Drosophila melanogaster: one gene and its partners. Changing the gene in region 1 together with any one later gene gives a genetic interaction. Each region holds a gene or a part of one and is shown on either strand. Other genes may lie near its edges. The genes, in order: nanos, Dcp-1, Drice and E(z).

Region 1 (5,564 bases):
ACCTAAGTGAGTTTTATATTTATATATTTCACAATGAATATTTAAAAAAGTAACACGTTTGAATTTCAGCACCCGAACGCTTTCCGGACGTAGAGTACATCCTGGTGGACCCTAGTTGCTCTGGCAGCGGAATGCAAAACCGCATGACCGTGTGCGACGAGCCGAAGGAGGACAAGCGGCTGCAAAAGCTGCAGGGTTTGCAAATTAAGATCCTGTCGCACGCGATGGGCGCCTTTCCGAACGTCAAACGCATTGCCTACTGCACGTGTTCGCTGTGGAAGGAGGAAAACGAGCAGGTGGTGCAGCGTTGTCTTCAGCTAAATCCATCCTTCAAGCTGCTCAGCTGCAAGAAGGCCTTGCGCAACAAGTGGCACAATGTGGGCGACAAGGACTATCCCAATATTGGCAAGAACGTCCTGTATTGCCAGCCGGACAGTGATCTTACCGATGGCATCTTCCTGGCCCTTTTCGAGAAACGCCGCGAGGGCGAAAAGGATTAGTTGTTTCAAACGCAAGAAGGACATTTGTTTCCTTAAATTGTAACCATTTCTTTATTTGGCACTCGAGCCATTGAATTTTTCATTTTCAGAATATGTGTACACATTTTTTAAAAAAATAAAAAAATTATATAATGCTGGCGGTTGTTTCATGTGTGAAAAATTGATCAATGGTAAACAAAATTGAATAAATATATAACATATATATATATATATATATATATATATATATATATATATATAGATATGTGTGTTGAAATGAATACTTGCGATACATGTAATAAAAATACTCTTCGCTTATCTATCAAAAAGTGCGGAATGTCAAAATTTAAAATTTTACAATGAATGCGTAGCCGACGACGAAAGTGTTCCTTGCTATTTCCTTTAGCAAGATTTAAATTTAGATTAAATTCTAATGATACGATTGACAGTTCGAAATTCAAAGTGTTCCTTTTTCAAAATTTAGTAAAGATTGTAGATCAATTGTAGATATATCGAAATTTTTCGGCCGCAAGCGAACATTTTACGAAATGAAGGCGACCAGTTGCAGACCAATTCCATTCATCAACTTTCGGATTGTAAGATATTTCTATCGGCCACGACGATTGAACAAGTATTACGATATTGTAAGTCTTCTTTAACAAAATTAGTTTCCCTTTCACAGAAACAGACATAAATTCTTGAATTATTGACTTGGATTTGAGTGATCGTTCGTTGTCTATACTATAAGATCTATAGGCACGGGATAACGCTCTAAATCTCTTTAAAATCGAACGCGCCAGGCGCTATTTAAACGTTACTATCTATCTATCTGGTTAACCCAGCTTTGATCGGAATGCGTATATATATTTCATGTTATATAAACGCTGCAAAAGCTGCCAGAGCCTCTGCTCCAGAGCTGGATTCGCCCTCTCTAAACCTTCATCTGTTGCTTGTAGTAACTGCTCTTGGCTAGGCGGAACGATTCCGCCTTGATCGCATCCTCCATGGTGATGATCGGCTTCTTGGGGCAGTACTTAATCGTGTGCGCCGAGTCCCCAGATGCCCCGCAGATGGGGCACACGTAGGTGCGTAGTTTGGGGCACAGCACTCGGTTAAAGTTATCTCGCACTGAGTGGCTATTGATAACCGCCTCTGGTTCGTTGTTATTCTCACAAAAGACGCAGTGGCGGCTGATCTGTTGGAGAAACAAGATAACAAATATATTTTGCAAGTTTTAATTCTGCGAATCCTGGATCAGATCCACTCACCTCTTTGGCCTTGCTGTTGTAACGCTTGTACACCTTGTTGTTGTTGTTATTATTGTTACTGGAATTGGAAGCTCCGCGCAGCTGTTCGCCCTGCACGGGCAATCCCAGACCCATTCCCACGCCGAGATTGGTGGACACAGTGGCCGCTGTTTGGGCCTGCAAACCCATTGTATTGGGAGCGGCTGGTATATACGACATGTTTCGCCACACGTTGTTCAGATGCTCCCGGTAGTTGTTCAGCCAGTGGGTGGCGAGTGGAATGGGCATTAAGTTGCCGCCATTGGTCTGCAGCTGGGCAGGATTGCGGCCCAGTGGCAGGTGCAGCCCCTGCTGTTGCTGATGCTGCTGCTGCGGTGGCATTTGCACCTGTGGCGGAGCACTCCCGTAGGACATGCGACCGAGATCATCGCTGGCATAGCCATTGGTCGCGAACTCCTGCATCACATCCTGCATCGAGCCAGCCGCATTTTCTGGGAATAGCAAGCTTTTCATTACCTTGTCCTGAACGTATTTTTTTTATTATTCGCGTTTCAATTGCATTTCAGAAATGTAATAAGCAAATACGGATTAGTTTTTGCATACAAAAAAAAAACAAGAACAGACGAGAAAAAGCAAAGAACTTCTAGAAAATGTAAGACGCAAAATGGCTTTCCGAAGTTAAAACAAAAAGGAATAGCGAAAATGCTAAGGTCAATGGCCGAAAATTCAGGGGCGCTCGAAAAACCTCTTGAAGGGGATACAAGTGTTGGGCAAAGATATATTTTAAAGCACATACAAAATAGTAAAATAAAAAATATACTACACTAAATGGCGAAAATCCTCTGACCTCTGCAGCAATTATACATTTACACAATTTTACTTCTGTTTTGCTCTGTGCTTTCGTTGCCCCTTTAACTAAGCCCATGGCCATTGACTTTGGCATAACTGTACTTGTACAGATAGTCATCTCGCTCCCGCGCACTGTTTTTGGCTATTCTGTTTTAAACGACGCCATATTCGCCATTTCTTCTTACCTGCTGCGCCCGTCGTCACCTGCGCAAAGATTTTCAAGGATCGCGCAATCTCGTCCGTTTGCTGGTGACTCGCACTAGCCGCTGCCGCTGATGCAGCCAGCGCCAATTGGTGCTGCGCCATGGCCAGTTGCTGCTGCTGCTGGAGCAGCAAGTGGTAGTGGTACTGTCGCTGCATAAGGAGCGAATTGGCGGTGGCTGCGCTGTCGGCCAGAAAAGGGAAGTGCGTCGACTGCGCAGACGTCGACGGGTCAGGGGTCACCGGCGTAATGGGCGGACTCAAAGTGGCCGACGAGTTGGCCCCACTGGTATCCAAATACATGTCCTGCAGGCCCAGAATGTTGAGCCCTCCTCTGGCGTGAAAAGCAGAAAAGTTATCCTGCAATTGGAAAATCTTTCCAGACTGAGCCAACGAGGGGGGATTTGCAACACCTACTGCTGCTGCGCCACTGCCCTCCAAGTTGCTGCGGAACATGGCGAAAATCCGGGTCGAAAGTTACGGTTATCGCGCACTCTACTTTCCACAAATCCTCACCCAAAAACCAAGCACAGTTTATTCAACTGAAGTATTCGCGATACTTCTTTATCTAATAATAATGTACATGTAACTAAACTCGCTTTTGGGTTAAAATCGTGACGCAGAGGCAAAAAAAATCGTATGTCCCTTAGACAACTTGAAACAACTGCGAAGCGTACGGCAATTCCAGGAATTTTGTGGTAAAGCTACGCGCCAACTAACGGTTCTTGCTTAGAGGTGGAATAATGTAGTTTTCCAGCGATAATAAATATATCGATATTTTTAGTAAAATTGAAAAGGTAAACTTAATTTTAGAAAATAATTTATAAGAAATTTAATAGTATGCAAAATAATTTTTACTTGCTAAGAATATGTGCCACTAATTAAAAGCTGGACACCGCGCAATGGAAAATAGTACTACAACACAGCAACAAAGCCTGAGTTATCAACAAAAAAATACGAAAACATCTCCCAAAACTAAGCACCCACACGCGCCACTCGCCGTCACAACACAATCACTGCACACCACCATTCGAATTTCGCGCACTGTGACAACATCACATGATATCGGCGCGGCAACATCGGATTACCGACAAAACGAACTATCGCACGAGCCACCGCCGGCGAAGAGCGCTCGTTTTGCAACACCGGCGCGCGCTGAACGAAGAGAACAGCTGACTGCTTGATACGTGCGTGTTTCGCGGCAGGAATTACATAAAGTTTAGAGCCTCTGACGCCAGACCCCCCGAACATTCGCTCCGATCAAACTACCTGCGAACGGTCACCTAATCCCCACCATGGTAGGTTACCTCTGATCCCGGTCATCACTGGCGTTCGCTCACATCCGTCCTTACATGTGCATATTTCGAGGTTAAAACGGTCGAAGCTTTCAATGATTTTTTCTCCTTGCAGTACAGAATAGCTGCCCTTGTGCGGGATCGCGCCTGTCTCTTCACGTGCCAGCAGGCCTCGCAGAACCTGCAGCAGCAGCAGGTTAGAGTTTGGCTCATAAAACCCCATGGCGCAACCGGCCTAAGTCATGACTTTACTCCGCAGCCCCGCTTTTATAGTGCGCCAGGTCGCAGGGCCGGCTTCTTCTCGCAGTTCTTCGACAACATGAAGGCGGAGATGGATAAGAACAAGGAGATCAAGGACAATATCCGAAAGTTCCGTGAGGAGGCCCAGAAGCTGGAAGAATCGGATGCCCTGAAATCGGCGCGGCAAAAGTTTAACATTGTCGAATCGGAGGCGCAAAAGTCGTCTAGCATGCTAAAGGAGCAGCTGGGCGCCATCAAGGAGCGCGTAGGCGATGTTCTGGAGGACGCCAGCAAATCCCACCTGGCCAAAAAGGTTACCGAGGAGCTCTCGAAGAAGGCTAGGGGGGTCAGCGACACGATCTCCGACACCAGTGGCAAGCTGGGCCAGACCAGCGCATTCCAGGCTATCTCTAACACGACGACGACCATCAAGAAGGAGATGGACAGCGCGAGCATAGAGAATCGTGTCTATCGTGCTCCTGCCAAGTTGCGAAAGCGCGTCCAGCTCGTCATGAGCGATAGTGATCGCGTTGTGGAGCCCAACACGGAAGCCACTGGTGAGTCTCCATCTTTTTCCTTCAATAAGATCAAAGGTCATGGCCATAATGTAATGTTACTTTTCAGGTATGGAGCTGCACAAGGACTCCAAGTTCTACGAGTCGTGGGAGAACTTCAAGAACAACAATACCTACGTGAACAAGGTGCTTGACTGGAAGGTTAAATACGACGAGTCCGAGAACCCTGTTATTCGTGCCTCCCGCCTGCTGACCGATAAAGTGTCCGACGTCATGGGTGGACTCTTTTCAAAGACAGAGCTTTCGGAAACGATGACGGAGCTGGTGAAAATCGATCCGAGCTTTGATCAGAAGGATTTCCTCCGCGATTGCGAAACGGACATCATTCCAAATATTCTGGAATCGATTGTCCGTGGGGATCTGGAGATTCTGAAGGATTGGTGCTTTGAGAGCACTTTCAATATTATCGCAAATCCCATTAAGGAGGCTAAGAAGGCCGGCGTGTACCTGGACTCCAAGATCCTCGACATCGAGAACATTGAACTGGCAATGGGCAAGGTTATGGAGCAGGGCCCGGTACTGATTATCACGTTCCAAGCCCAGCAGATTATGTGCGTGCGGGACCAGAAGAGTCAGGTCGTCGAGGGAGATCCGGAGAAGGTGATGCGGGTTCACTACGTCTGGGTGCTGTGCCGCGACCGCAACGAACTCAACCCCAAGGCTGCCTGGCGGCTGATG
Region 2 (4,755 bases), on another chromosome or scaffold:
TTCCCAGCCGAATGTCCTTGAAAAGTGCGACCAGGTTACAGCCCAATTAGTTGGCTAATCATTGGGCTTTCCCTTTTTCCTCTTGTGCAAAGAAAAATGAAAATTTCTGCGATTTGGGGCAACTGTACTGCGCCACACGCACACTAGTGCGTCAACAGCTGATCGCCCTGACAGCTGTCAGTTGTTTTTGGCGCTAAATTCAAATCGAGATCATATTTAAATGCATTAATAGTTCCTTCGATACTTATATTTACGCAAAAATCATCATTTGGTTAATTTTATTAATTTCCTAAATTATAAAATTAGGAAATAAATATAAAATTTAGGAAATTAATAAAATTAGAGTGAGAAAAATCTTAATTAATCACTCTTAATAATGCTAATTTGAATTCCACTAAAGTTTCGTACAATTTCACTGATTCAGCCAACCAAGTCTTCATTGTTATCTTTTATTTCCCATATCAACGTACTCAATCTGGCCCAGACAGCTCCTGTCTTCAAACAAAGTTGCTTAGATCGAAATTACCCATCTACGTTCAATTGGGGAGATACCTTGCTATGTTTTTAATTCATTTTTATTCATATCAAATATAAATGTTTGCGTGTACATAAAAGTATGTATGTATGTATAAATCTTCATTGTATTATCTTATCTCAAATTTGTGGGTTTTCTATTGGCAAGGTCTCGCTTATGCATACGGAAGTCATCTAGTGGGTAAATGGGTAACGAATTTCGTCAATGATAAGGCCGAAATGGGCATGGGAAAGGCAGGGGAATGAATGAAAGGGAGTCGGGTGCTTCAATATCCATCGGGATAATCGCACGCGTCAGCTAAAACTAAACTTGAAGTGAATTGGAATCCAACGTGAATGATTGCGGGCGATGGTTGTACAACCTCTGTTGAAAGTTCTTCTTCGAAGGGAGATCTCTTCCTAGCCAGCCTTATTGCCGTTCGGCTTGTCGCCGAAGCGCAGTATGCGCGTCAGCATGGAGGTGAGGCACGGTATTTGCTTCTGGCGATCCATCATCGGTGTGGCGGGCACGTTCGACTCAAAGTCTAGGGCTACGCGCTGGTTAACGAATGTAAGCAGGGTGAGCAGGTCGTACTTTTTGCCATTGGCGTTCAGCTCGCGGATCAGCGATTGCATGTACCAGGAGCCATTGTTGATGTTGCGCCAGGAGAAGTAGCCTAACAGGACGAGATTGCTAGTGAAATTCACTAAAATAGTTACCTAATCATATTCCTTACCCGGAATGGTCGAGTAGGAGAAGAGAAAGTCGGCGTGTATGGGTATCTTGTAGCTCGTCGAGGACTCCCCGTCCGTCTCGGTAACGCCCTTCTCCAGAGTGATGCCTCCGTCCAAGCGATCGCCCTGGCAGGCTTGGATGAAGAACAGCTTCGGCTTGCCCGCCAGCGAGGGGCAGAAGGTGGCAGTGAAGTAGTGCCAGATGTTGTCCAGCTTGTACTGCGTATCCTTGGCGTACAGGTAGCCGTGCTCCCCGTGCGAGAGTATGGCCACCGCAAGGCAGTCGTTGTCCGTGTGGTCCAACTCGGCGGCCTTCCCCACGTGCTTCAGGATGTCCCTCAACTTGCAGTCCTTGTGCACGGACACCGCGAATCCCAGGTTTTCAAAGGCCTTTTTCAGCTCTTGGGCATCGACATTTGTTCCGGTGCGGCTCTTCAGCGAGGGTATGTCGAAGAATTCGTGGTTGAAGATCAGCGCAACTCCGCGGTGCTTGTGACTCATGTTGTATTCGCTTGCATATCGTTCCACGGGCATTCGAGCCACAAACTTGTTGGCCGGCAAGGGGCTGGGGAAAAAGAAATCAGAATTATAATAGCCATTTGGGAAGCAGCATGATAAGATAAGGTAATCGGCGAAATAATCGATGATTGGGTATTTATTTATGTAATTATTTTCAAATATATTTGTGAATAAGACTAAATAGAACAATAGAATTAAAGTCAAGTGCTTTCAAACTTTGTGACTTCAGCCATTTTAACAACATTATAAAGACAGATTGACACATTGATTTTAAATGTTGGCAATAGACAGTATAAATAATATAAAAATAATAGATTGTGGAATGAAAATGGAATAAATAAAAAAAAAAGAGCTTTATATGCTGCATTTGAAACTAGGATATAGCAGTTATGCCAGTACTTGCATTGATAACAAAACACAGAAACATAAAGAGAGAGATGGGAGAGGGAGAGAGCGAGGCACATGGACTCACCTCGCTGCAGTTGCACCACCAACAACAAGAGACTCCGGCGTACAGCCCTTGGCATCGGTATTATCAGCCATTATAAAGCTGCCCCGATTTTCCGATCCATTTGGGCTGCGAATGCCTACTCCGTAGTTTCTGGTTACGCACTCGTCGGTCATCTTGCGCCCCTTTTCTTGCTTAAGTTCTTGTTTTGATTGTTTGCGTTTCTCCTTGTGTTTCCTCTTGCCTTTTGTTCGCTCCCTCCTGCTCCTCCCTCGCTCACGCGCTGCTCTTTCCTTCCTTTTCTCTCTCCGCAGTTGTTGCGCCCTTTTTGGTCTGATTCTTGTTTTATTCTGACACTGCTTCTGTTTTCTATTGCTCTGCGTTGGCCAAACTTTGCGCAGCGCAGCTGTTTTGCGCTTCTCAGCCAGCTTTTGTCGGCTTTCGATCGAGCGAATGTCCTTTTATGGCTCACAGTCGGACGTGTTTAATCAATCAATTAACGGAGGTTAAGCGTGCTCTGAGCGGCGAAAACAAACTGCGATTGCATGTAGTCGTGTGTATGCACTTGCCGCCAAGCGGCGATGGCCGCTCGTCGATAGCACTAATCATCGATTGGTGGCCATCGATTAATTTGTAGAGGGTGTTCTGGTCCTCGGCGCCTTTGTTTAAATTTAAACTCTAACATTATATTGTTCATTTTAAGGGAAAGAGACATTTATGGCGTTTAATTTATTATGTAGCGAAAAACATATAGGGGTGTTCCACGAATATTACCTTATTATTTGGCTTAAGCACGGACTTCCCCGAATAAATGTAGCTTCCTAGTCACTCACACATTTATCTAATCTAACATTAAAAACAGGTCTACGCCGGCGACGGAATGCCGGGGCACATCTGTCTGGAGTGCCGCCTCCTCTTCGAGCACTGCTACCGCTTCAAGCAGATGTGCAAGCGGGCGGAGACCCTCCTGCGCCAGTATCCGCTCACGGGTAACTGGCCATCGCCGCTGGAGAAGCCCCGTGCGCCCATGACGATGGTGGCTTCCAAGAAGTTGTTGGTCGTGCCAGCAAAGACAGCCGAGCCAAGCGAAACGCCCAAAAAGCTGCTGAACACAATGGCCAAATCCAGTAGTCAGGTGATCATCGAGGACGTCCAGGTGCTGGAGAGCGCCATGGTGACCCCCAGGACGGTAGCCGGTTCCTCTCCAGTGCCACGTCGTTCGCACGCCTATGAGCTGAAGGTGGATAACAACCAGGAGCTGTCCATGGACGATGTGCAGAGCATGCTGGAGGATATGGCCAGTGAGCTAGAGAAGGAGTTCCCCGATATCCCCCAGAAGGCATCACCCGTCAAGCCGAAGGTGCTGAACAAGTCCTCGATTAGGATCTTGAACAAGGGACCCGCCGCTCCGGTGGAACCGCGCCTGGCCACACCCAAAGTCAAGCGAGATGATAGTGGCAATGTGGCCATAGTGACAGAGGTTCTGGACTCGGATCTGCCATTGGACGATCAAGATGATCCGACCAAGAACGCCGAGAAGGTGGCCACCGATGTGTTCCCCTGTCCCGATTGCGAACGCTCCTTTCCGCTGCAGCAGCTGCTCGAGATCCATCGGCTGAATCACACTCGCTCGCGCAGCTTCCAGTGTCTCCTGTGCGAGAAGAGCTTCTTCTCCAAGTACGACCTGGCCAAGCACAACTTTGTGCACACCGGCGAGCGGCCATTCAAGTGCGCCATCTGCTCGAAAGCCTTCACACGGAAGGCATTGCTCCATCGCCACGAGCGCACCCACACGGACGTACCCAAGTTCATCTGCGTGTACTGCGAGAAGCCCTTCCTTTCGCGCCAGGAGATGGAGAAGCACGCCGAGCGACATCAGAAGAAGCGTCCGTTCCAATGCGGTGTCTGCACCAAGTCGTTTGCCTTCAAGCAGGGATTGGAGCGTCATGAGGTGGGTTGACAAGCATATTTGGGATTGCCCCGGCTAACGATTATGTCCACTTTCAGACAGTCCACTCCACCAATCTTCCCTTCCCCTGTCAGCATTGCGAGAGAAGCTTTTCCACCGCTTCCAAGCTGGCCCGCCACCTGGTTGCCCACGCCGGGAAGAGAGCCTATCCCTGCAAGTACTGCCACAAGTCCTACATGCTGTCGCATCATCTCTCGCGCCACCTGCGCACGCACACGCAGACTTCCGACGCCTCGTTCGTGTGCAGTGAGTGCAAGGTGTCGTACAGCAACTATAACGACCTACTGGATCATGCGCTCATTCATGCCACCGCCAGCCTGAAATGTCCCATGTGTCGCAAGCAGATCGAAGATATCGACAGTGTCGAGAGCCACATGGACCAGCACAAGCAGAGCGAGCGCCATGCCTGCGAGTTCTGTGACCACATCTTCTTGACGCAGAAATGCCTGCAGCGCCACATCGAGGACGATCATGTGGTGGAAATGGAGCCGTACCAGAACGAGTTCGAAGACGACGGCGAAGGAGAAGGCGGCGTCGATGAGAAGGAGGAACATCTTGACGATTTTGAAGA
Region 3 (4,219 bases), about 11 Mb from region 1:
TGAACACCCCTCGCTACGCCACGTTGCCGAACATCATGAAGGCCAAGAAGAAGCCGCTGAAGAAGGTTACGGCCAAGGATCTCGGCGTGGACACCTCGCCCCGCATCGAGGTCATCTCCGTGGAGGATCCTCCTGTGCGCCAGGCCGGCGCCACCGTCGCCGACGTGGATGCCCTGGTGGCCAAGCTAAAGGAGGGCGGCCACATCTAGATGTTCCTCAACTAGAAAATTGTGAGCGCATATTCTACGTTTTTAATTAGTCGAAAGTTATCAGAAACGTGCATTTATCTAGCCGGAGAGTCGGATTTGCTGACAGGCTTTAAATTTCTCTGAATTCAACCCATACCCGTGTGCTTTAAGTGAACTATAAATTGGAATTTATTCTCGTTGTGTCCAGCTCTAAGAATAAAGTGATTGTAAGCTCTGAAATCGTACGATCAGGGTCAGCCAATGGCTGGACTCGTCTATTTTTCCGTCTCCGCGTGCTACCTTTTCGGGAAATGCCGCTCAACTTGGCGCCCAAAAGAGGCGACAGGGTCAACAGCAAACAGCCAATGGTCATTGATTTCTCATTGTTTTCAATCGGATTTATTAGCGGTTAACTTGAAAGGAGAACATTTGCTAATGTGCATTATATAAGAGTACAAATGGCATAGAAATAGTATATATTGTTCATAAAACACTCGACTACAGGCTAAAATCGTTTGTTTTCGTTTTGGACGACCATGACACACAGGCTTATACTATAAAGATATCTATGTGTATAAAATTGTAAAAAGGTCTTGTCTGTAAATGGTCTAAGGTAGATATAGATAAGGGTGGGCCGACATTCCTGATCGAGAATCAAAGAGGCGCAAGTTGTTCTATGATAAGGTTTAGTAGAGAATTTAAAATTTTGAGATCGTCTTTGTTCAGTTGGCAAGTTAAAATTGTCAAAAAATTTTGGCCGGAGTAAAAACCTCTTAGATTTCTAAGTTAAATCGATCTACTCTACCCACCCCAAAAAATATAAATACAGACGAGTAAATGCGACATTAATAAATGTCAATCGAAAGATACTTTGTGCCTAAATAAAATAAAACGGGCAGTGGCACCAATCTCGTCGAGCAATTGGGCAGGTTAAAAAAGTGTTGTATAAAAAATATGCTGCAAGGCCGATAGCCCATGAGGTTCTAACTTAATTGCGACTTGGTTTATCACACACCTCGCCGTACCCACCGTTTGATCCATACCATTAGCCATCAAACCCGTCCGGCTGGTGCCAACTGCTTGTCGCTGAAACGCAGAATGCGCGTCAGCATGGTGGTTATGCAGGGTATCTGCTTCTGCTGGTGCATCTCCGGAGTGTCCGGGGTGCAGGACTCAAAGTCCACGGCCACCCGCTGGCACACGAATGTGAGCAGGGTCAGGATGTCCAGCCGCTTGCCATTGGCCGCCAGTTCGGCGCACAGGCTCTGCATGAACCAGCTGCCGCGGGTGGTGTTGCGCCACGAATAGAATCCAGGAACCGTCGAGTAGGCGATCAGAAAGTCGGCGTGCACTGGAATCTTGTAGCTCATCGAGGAGTCGCCATCGGTTTCCGTCTGAGAACGCTGCATGGTCACTCCGCCATCCAATCTGTCGCCCTGGCAGGCCTGTATGAAGAACAACTTGGGTTTGCCGGCTAGCGAGGGGCAGTGATTGGCCGTGAAGAAGCTCCAGATGTTATCCAGCTTGTACTGTGTGTCCTTGGCGTAGATGTAGCCCATCTCGCCGTGCGACAGGATGGCGACCAGGATGCAATCACTATCGCTGTGATTCTGCGACGCTGCATACTCGATTGTCCTCAAAATGTCCTTGTAGCGGCAGTCCTTGTACACGGTCACTTCGAAGTCCAGCTGCTTGAGCACCCGAGTCAGATTCTCGCAGTCCACATTGGTTCCCGCGCGAGACTTCAAGGTGGGCACCTCGAAGTGCTCATGGTTGAAGATCAGTGCCATTCCGCGGTTCTTGTGGCGCATGTTGTACTCGGCTGCATGGCGGTCGGTGACCATTTTGGCTACATTCTTACGGTAGCTGGACGAGGGTGAGCTGTACCCGTTGGCCAGCTGCCCAATGGCTCCGCTGCCGTAAGGATGCGAGGATCCTGCGACCAGGCCGCTGCTACCCGCTCCTCCGGATCCCACGGAGCCCAGGGCATCTGTGTGATCGTTGGGCTGCTCCGGATTGCCCACCCTGATGCCCACCTGGTCGGCGGATTCTCCATTGTTAGTGGCGTCCATGGCTAAGTTCTCTCCTTGAGCCTGCGAAAACTGATGAGTCACAAGCACTGCGAAACAGGTTTTTCCAAATCTGTGAAAAGCTTGGATGCACGACTTGGGCAAATTAGCTTCGTTCTGGGGAAAGTCCGTGTTTACGCGCAACAAAGACAGCTAGTTATTAACTAATTACTTTAGTCGATTGCGTTTTTGTCTTTAATTCTGTAAGACCGTTGTTGGCAGTTGAAAAACACCAAATAGCGCCTGATTTGGTGATGACACTTCAGCCCTCGTGTCACGATTACGGTAAACAAAGAAAGTAAATAAATATAGGAAAAATTATTAAATGGGTTTTAAAAAATATTAAAATAATTTGAAATTAAAAGCTTGGAGGTAATTTTGTGGGAACTTGTATAATCTACATAAAAAACAGGCCTGCTTCCATTTATTATTGTAGAATCGAATTCGCATCCAAAGCTAAAACGTAAACATCAGTTTATAAATAAGGCAGACCGCTGCTGGATTTTCGAAAAATAACGTAAAATACCGTAAAATACGCTCTTATGCACGGTCACACTCTCAAAGAGGTTTGAGACGCACTGTAGAATTTGTTGAATTGTTTCAATTTGTTTAAAAATTAAGAAAATTACCAATGTTCTGGACACCAGAGCAAGTGGAGAGCATGCTGGAAGTGCTAAAGACCTCCACGGATCGAACAGTCATTTACAAATGCCTGGTGAAGCTGCGCACCGATCTGGTGAAGGATAAAAATGGCATTGTTTTATTTCGCACTGCTGGGGGCGTTCACATCATGGTGGGTTTGGGAGTCACAACGCTCATGGTGGTTTGACAGCCACTGCCGCTCACATAGGATCGTTATTCGAATCGATTTTTAAATCATTATTAATTGCGTCTTCCAGGTGCGACTGATCACCAAGCTGAATGAAAAGATAATGGAGGTGGTACTGAGCATACTGGGGAACTGCTGCACCGACGAACAGTCCTGCATTGAGGTGGGATTATCAGATTACATTTTTATCTTTATTTTGAACCACAACGGTTAAAAAAATTTAAAACTTTCCACTTTAAGGCTGTTGAATGCAAGGTGATTCACCCGCTGGTGACCATTCTGAAGACCATACCTAATCCCCTGATCCAGTGCCGCGCCTGCCGGATGCTTGGAAACATCGCCAAGAGCAAGAAGGCGTCCCAGTGTCTCACAGTGCACTATGCGGCCATTGCACCGGCCATCTGCCACATCATTGAGTCCACCAGTGCGGTGCAGACCCGCATCATGGCATTCCGCGTCTGCCGTTTCCTTCTGGCCAGCAGCCAGTTCCTGAAGTACTTCCTCATGGCCAATGGGTTCCAGCAGCTGATGCGAATTTTTCTGGCCGTGATGAAGAACGAAGAGGCATCCAAGGAGCCCGTTCCGGACATCGAGATGTCCACGCTGATTGGCCTGAAGAGGAACCAGCACCGTGAGAAGTATTTCGAGGAGGTAGCCCGGAATTTGGAGGGTGTTCGCAGTGACATCTTTGACCACCAGATGCTCAAGAATTCCACAAGGAACTGTGACTATGCGCTGCCCAAGGAAAATGAAGCGGCCGTTGAGCTGGCCCTCGAGATTCTGAAGTGTCTGGTCCTGATATCCGCGCAGCAAATTGGACTGAAAGTTTGGGAGGTGAGACTGTTTTCTAAGTTCTCCAAAACGTAGTACATAATAAACATTTCTTGTTAGTCCATTTCCTGGAATACCTCGCTCGCCTCCATTGTGTGCTTCGTAAAGGAGGACGGCGACCAACGGGCCTCTGCCCTTAAAATCCTCTCTAACTTCTGCAAGGATCCCTTCGCCTTCTACATGCTGAGCACTGCGGATGCCATTGTGGCTGCCTGCGAGATGCTCATGGCTGTGAACATGGCAAAGCCACTTAGCGAAAGCGAGAGCCGGCACTGCATCAACATAATCTTGACGCTATCCAC
Region 4 (5,879 bases), on another chromosome or scaffold:
ACAAAACGCTGGCAAAGGCGATTGGGCCATTATAGAGCTGCAAGGCGACCTGGAGGTGCGGAGCAACCAGGATATGCACGGCCAGTTTATTGGCGATCTCTACTACAATAAATATGGCCAACCTGTGAGTTGTAATTGTAAAGTTATAATTTAACCAGCTCTTAAACAATCTGATTTTACTTATATCATAAGATTCTCATCATTGGACATCACATTCTTCAGGGACGTGAACAAAAGTTGGATAAACCATTTGCGGTGCTGGAAAAGTCCAAGACCAATGAGGGAGAACGACTCCTAGAAACGAGCATGGCCTCGCAGGATGTCAGTATGCTGAACGCCACCACGGGAGCGGAGCGCACAGTGCTGGATCATACGATCGCCCAGGAGCACAAGAGTCGCCAAAGAACGGAGTACACTGTGCGCGCCGTTTGCACCAAAAAATTAATCTTCAAATCGCGACCCAAACCAATTATAGCCAATGTAGCTAAATCCGTTTAGGTGTGTTTTCAAAAATATAGTTTTATTCAATTTGTATGATACGATTTTCATAAGTAGACTCGTTATCAAACAATTTCCATTTCACGCTCTATGCCCACGAACTTCAGCTGCTCCGTGGGTCCGTATCTGTAGTCAAAGAATAGCTCTTCGCCGGGCTGAATGGCCCGCTTGGCAAAGATGCCGATGCGATGATCGCCGGTGACCATCATAACCTTGGCATAGCAATTGGGATTAATGGAATGATTGGCAAACCGAATCTTGTTGCCCTTCCGAGTGGCATCCACAACAAAATCGTTGTTCAGATTGAAAAGAAATGAGCACATGTACTTGTCGTAAACCTTGCCACGGCGATCGGCTTCATCTTGGGATATGATCTCGCCACAATATTCCGAAATGAACTCATTCTTTTGCGCACCCTCCTTAAGAAAGATGCCCCAGCCGGCGATGTCAGACGGAGCCATGAGCAGGTGCTTGTCTGCAATTGAAGATTAAATTAGTTGACAGTGGCGAAGACCAATATGGATATATAAGAAGGTTTCTTACGCAGTCCTCGCTGCACGCACACGTTCTTGCACGTGATCTTGGTCAGCTTAAACTGATCCGCTCCGCAGGCCTGGCACAGATCGGGATCACACTCGCGCACTGCCAGATAGCAAGGACACTGCTTCGTATTGCACTGAGCCTTGCAGCGACAGCCGGGGAAACGATTCTGGCAATCGCTGCTGCAGTTGCAGAACTTTTCGCAGAAGTTTTGTGTCTGAATGCAGGAGCAGTTCATGTCGCATGGATGTCCGGGATGGTCGCAGGGCGTGTAGTTGTACACGTGATTCGAGGATGAGTCCTTCTTTAGCTGAATCTTACGACAGTGCAGCGACCACAGACGTTGCTTCTTCTTCTTCTTGCGCGGAGGTGTGAAGTCCTGTCGCAAATCCTCGAAGCTAAACTCAGCATCCTCCTTCTGGGCAAACTCGTACACCTGACGACAGGTCTTGGTCAGCATGTTGTGCGCAATCGCGCAGTAGTTCTTTAAATACACTTTATGCAAGACCCGATAAAGTGCTTGGTCAGCGCCTGTCCAAACGCACTGCGTACTGGTGATGTTCATCATGCCAGCTGGTGAGAAAAAGTGAAATATTTAACACATGGTCCAACCAATCTGCTAACTTAAAACTGACCCATAATGGAGTTGATCTCAGCCACAGCGGCGCTATTTACAGTCAGGCCATTATCCTTGCTATTCTCATGATTAAAGTCCTTGTTGCTAAACTGACTGTTGCTGTCATTACTGTCCTCGGAGCTGGCCTCATTGCAGGAATCAATGGGAGGTGTCTTGCTATCGGCCGCCAGCTTTTCCTTCATGCCATCCTGCAGCATATAACAGAATTAAAATACCATTTAAATTTATAAAGTGCATCCAACTTACGATCAACATGTAGCAGGAGTTGCTGCAAGGTTCGGCGAAAGGCTTCAGTTCCGGATAGCGACGCTTCTGGAGATTGGGACCCGCATGTCCTTGCAAGCCTGTGAACACAGAGCAGCGGGATTAGAATAACTCAATCGGGCGAAAATCACTTGATGTCTATGAAACGCTTTTGGATTAGCATGAGGGTAATCGGTTACATTTGAAGAGATAGAGAGAAATGGTCCAGCCAAAGCCACACGAAAATGAGGTGAGCAACACCGAGGGGTCAATTTAGACACATGACAAACATAGCCAAATTATCCACCGATATGGGTTATTATAAAAATTATATTCATAGACAGCGAGATGAGGATGCGGAGGCGTTGACGGGCAAACGGCATGAGAGTGTGTGCGTGTGGTTATCGAAACAACAACTACAACAACGACTCACCCTGCACATGGTGACCTAAATTGCAATTAATTCAATACATTTTGGAATTTCGTTTTTTTTTTTGGGGGTTTAAGAAATGGTACAGATTTGTGTTTTTTGGTAAGATAATATTGTTTCCAAACAAGAAAAGAAAAGCAAAAACAAAACGTAAAGTCATTAGGTAACCCAGCTGGCAGCAGTTCCCATCGTTTAACTTACGGTGCAGGAAGCAGTCGTATTTGAAGCAACGACGACAGAAGAGCGTGTGAAAGGAGTGCATAGTCCTTTCCCGGGAAACGCTCTCGGCCTTGATGCCGTCAATGTTGGGTGTGCACTCCTGTGGGCGCTCCGGATCCTGGTGCTCCGTAAGCTCAATGTACCTAGCAAAAAGAAAAAGCCGTAAGAAGGGATATTTACTAACCTGGTTATCAAATTACATACTTTTCTTTGAGCTCTTGCGCGGTGCCCTTGTCTGGAAAGTTAGCGCTGATGGCCTGAAAAATAATGGGCGCAGGGAAGGGCAGCTTGTCCTTGACTTCTTCCACATCGGGCTTAACATCCGCATCTTCAGTCTCCAGCGGTTCTTCAGTTTCCTTCTTCTCAACTTCAGTCAGATCCCCTTTGCTGTCGGTTTTCTCAAGCTTCATGGGAGATTCACCATCTGCGTCAACATCAACTACCCCATCATCTTCGCCCTGTTTTGATTTCGCCAACGTCTCTGTTTTAATGGCAGTCGCTGTACCCGGAGCGGCTTCCTCCAGTTCCTTGCTGTAGGAGCGCATAAGGGCGTGCACCAGTTCTACGAAGATGGCATCGTCCATGAACGAGGGATCCTTGTCGCCGTGAACCTTGCCATCGTAGTTTTTGATCAGTTCCTCTATGAACTTGCCATCCTTATCGAGGACCTCGTCGCCCATATAGGGTATATTGTGCAGCACCGTCTCATCCTCCACCATGAAGTTCTGCTGTGTTGGTGCCCACGTGTACATGGTGGGTATGGGAGTGACCGCGTTGATCACGCAAATGGGCACCTTTTGCGGACCGCTGGGAATGCCATTGTAGCTAGTCACCTCCGCCCGCTTCACACAGTCCACATGCGGCGGATCGTAGGGTTTAGCCTGCCAAACCTTCGACTCGCAGTACAGATCCTGTACATTGTGGTTGTGCTCGTCCCTGGAGGATATGTGTACATAGATTTTCGATTCCCAGACATCCACCATCTCTCCCGCGCTTACCAGTTTCTTATCCACGCCTCCTTGATCTCGTCGGCACGTTTGTAGCGCTTCTGCTGCCTGATTTTGATGTACTCCGACTTGACACGCCTCTTCCACTCGGGCGGCACTTTAGTGCTATTCATAATGCCTTCGAGGGACTTTATATTTGTTGATTTTACGTATAAAAAACACTGATTTTGCTACAAATATTATCCGCCTTTTTTTGCAACAGCTGCCGCAGTGTGACCGTTGTACTGCAGGAAGAATAACTTAGACACATGGGTGTATGTAGAAGACCATTTAGTGGGTACTTAATTTGTCCGGTAAGCCATTAATTATATTTATATTATAATAAAAACTATGATATTTTTGTATTAAAATAATATAAATATAATATAAATAATACATAAATATAATACTCACTTTAAATTAGCTATACAACCATTTTGTACTGAAAGTAGGAAATAAACAAAGAGCCCCTCTTTGGTACGACCCTGCTTTGTGTAGTGTTGAGAAACGCAGCCCGTTATCAGTGCTCTCAAACGTGGAATGTCATCAAAAACATAAAAAGAGGAAAAGAAAGCTATGAGAACCTCATCAAATAATAATAATAAATACAATAATATTTAAACTGGACAAATTTAATCGCATTAAGACGGCCACGAGCTTTGAGGAAATAGCTGCAATGGAACCGTCAGCCTGCGAAGGTATGTAACTCGCCGGCAAAAGAGAGCCGGAAAACGCGCAAGCCACTGACTATGTTTACCAACCATAACTGGGTTTGTTTTCCTCGCTCCTCTGCAGATCTCAAGGCCTTCGAGCGGCGCCTCACCGAAGTGGTTTCATCGTACCGTCCCTCGACGTTCCGCTGGCGCAGTAAGTTGCATCCGTATAATGAGAACACCAGGGAGCATTACAATCCGTAATAACCATAGAGCTTCTTGCAGTTGTCCTTTCCGCCATGTCCATGTGCACCGCCATCAGCGCCTGGTACTGGCTACGCGATCCGCGCACCACCGTTGTACCGCTAACGGAGTCCCTCTGGATTCATCCCGTCTTCACAGTCGCCACCCTAACATTGGGTAAGAATCGGTGTAGCCACTACTGTACTCCGTACATAGGTCACTTTTTGTAGTCAACAGCGGCGGTCATTGAACCTCGGATATTCTACCTAGTATGGAGAATAATTTTAATACCAAGCCATACCATGCTATTTAAATCCATATAATCATATCGTAGAGCAAGTCGATACTATATATCAGGTTATCTCAGGCTACTCGGTAAAAAGAAAGGATCAAAATCAAGAATTTCAAATTTTTAGGTATTTCTACTGTTATTTTGAGTAGAATACACTCCTTATATCTATCACATCTATGCAAACTACATAAGTACATTCTCCAAATTTTAGCAACATTAGGTTGCCTTTAATCTTGTCAAAGCTCTTCGCTTTATCAAATTCGATTTGTATATATCAATATTGATAGTCCAACTGATTAAGAATTTTCAGCTAACAAACACTTCCATTTAATCTAATCTAATTTTTTTGGTTTGAAACTGACTTACTGATTTTGTAAACCTTATCATTTCTCTCCGCAGTCGTCCTGTTCATCCTGGGCATACAGAAACTAGTCATAGCTCCGCAAATAATTACATCGAGAACGCGAATGGTACTGGGAGACTTTAATATGAGCTGTGACGACACGGGGAAGCTGATACTCAAGCCGCGGCAAAGTAACAACAACAGTACATGAGCACCGGCCAGCTTCCAGGACGTTTATTTAGTTAATTGCTAGTTCCCTTACCCTTTTCTTTTTTCCTACATGTTGATTCGGACACCCTCGCTTTGTAAGCGTATTTTTAAAGTACCTCTTATTTCTCCCCTACACATTTTGTTTAATTATAGAAGCTCCTTTGTACAAAAAAACAAAAAGAAAAGAAATCAATTGTTAAGCTTTATGTGTTTCGTTAATGGCGTTACCCATCGCTGCCAAATACACCAAGCGACATTTCAATATCAATTCATCTATAACTAACGAGTTGCTCGCAAATTGTGCAACGACAAGTGTTTTTGTATATTTGGAGCGGTTTTTATCGAGCCGCATTCTGTATAAATAGGGAGTCTGTGCAGTTCCAAGGCATCAGAAGCAAGCAAGCCATCTGTACAACAAACCAGCTTTACCATGAAGTTCCTACTCGTGTGCACTCTCATCCTGGGCCTCGCCTTCTTCATGGCCTCTGGCAAGGATTGCAATGGGTTACGCTCGACAACAGCTCTACTTAACTGCTTCCCATACATTCTAGCCCTTCCCCAACTGAACAACGAGGCCCCCATGGT

Evidence for each region.
Region 2: of nanos (region 1) and Dcp-1, changing one suppresses a phenotype caused by changing the other (phenotypic suppression), as found in Drosophila melanogaster (one study listed by BioGRID).
Region 3: of nanos (region 1) and Drice, changing one suppresses a phenotype caused by changing the other (phenotypic suppression), as found in Drosophila melanogaster (one study listed by BioGRID).
Region 4: of nanos (region 1) and E(z), changing one suppresses a phenotype caused by changing the other (phenotypic suppression), as found in Drosophila melanogaster (one study listed by BioGRID).

What each region holds. Positions count from the first base shown.
Region 1 is NT_033777.3:19,155,169-19,160,732, reverse strand, and holds nanos (nanos), read right to left. Parts: upstream 3,496-5,564; 5' UTR 3,233-3,495; coding exon 2,761-3,232; intron 2,218-2,760; coding exon 1,748-2,217; intron 1,675-1,747; coding exon 1,411-1,674; 3' UTR 1,124-1,410; coding exon of another isoform or gene 1,028-1,123; 3' UTR 531-1,027; downstream 1-530. Other genes in the region: Nsun5 (Nop2/Sun-like domain containing protein 5), read left to right, coding at 1-6, 70-500; CG11779 (uncharacterized protein), read left to right, coding at 1,028-1,123, 4,187-4,267, 4,331-4,868, 4,936-5,564. UniProt on the Drosophila melanogaster protein: Maternal RNA-binding protein that is required for germ cells proliferation and self-renewal. Acts by forming a complex with pum and brat that regulates translation and mRNA stability.
Region 2 is NT_033778.4:23,549,359-23,554,113, reverse strand, and holds Dcp-1 (death caspase-1), read right to left. Parts: upstream 2,802-4,755; 5' UTR 2,392-2,801; coding exon 2,240-2,391; intron 1,814-2,239; coding exon 1,251-1,813; intron 1,191-1,250; coding exon 934-1,190; 3' UTR 567-933; downstream 1-566. Other genes in the region: pita, read left to right, coding at 3,078-4,166, 4,223-4,755. UniProt on the Drosophila melanogaster protein: Involved in the activation cascade of caspases responsible for apoptosis execution. Proteolytically cleaves poly(ADP-ribose) polymerase (PARP). Loss of zygotic DCP-1 function causes larval lethality and melanotic tumors.
Region 3 is NT_033777.3:29,797,939-29,802,157, reverse strand, and holds Drice (death related ICE-like caspase), read right to left. Parts: upstream 2,501-4,219; 5' UTR 2,261-2,500; coding exon 1,241-2,260; 3' UTR 574-1,240; downstream 1-573. Other genes in the region: Etfb (electron transfer flavoprotein beta subunit), read left to right, coding at 1-209; Rnb (R and B), read left to right, coding at 2,889-3,050, 3,157-3,249, 3,327-3,920, 3,978-4,219.
Region 4 is NT_037436.4:10,634,075-10,639,953, forward strand, and holds E(z) (enhancer of zeste), read right to left. Parts: upstream 3,806-5,879; 5' UTR 3,688-3,805; coding exon 3,566-3,687; intron 3,504-3,565; coding exon 2,772-3,503; intron 2,711-2,771; coding exon 2,550-2,710; intron 2,367-2,549; coding exon 2,352-2,366; intron 2,020-2,351; coding exon 1,922-2,019; intron 1,864-1,921; coding exon 1,674-1,863; intron 1,612-1,673; coding exon 1,042-1,611; intron 974-1,041; coding exon 564-973; 3' UTR 501-563; downstream 1-500. Other genes in the region: CG34001 (uncharacterized protein), read left to right, coding at 1-124, 193-498; Cnep1r2 (CTD nuclear envelope phosphatase 1 regulatory subunit 2), read left to right, coding at 4,230-4,251, 4,349-4,420, 4,480-4,626, 5,141-5,295; CG18628 (uncharacterized protein), read left to right, coding at 5,725-5,782, 5,846-5,879. UniProt on the Drosophila melanogaster protein: Polycomb group (PcG) protein. Catalytic subunit of the Esc/E(z) complex, which methylates 'Lys-9' and 'Lys-27' of histone H3, leading to transcriptional repression of the affected target gene.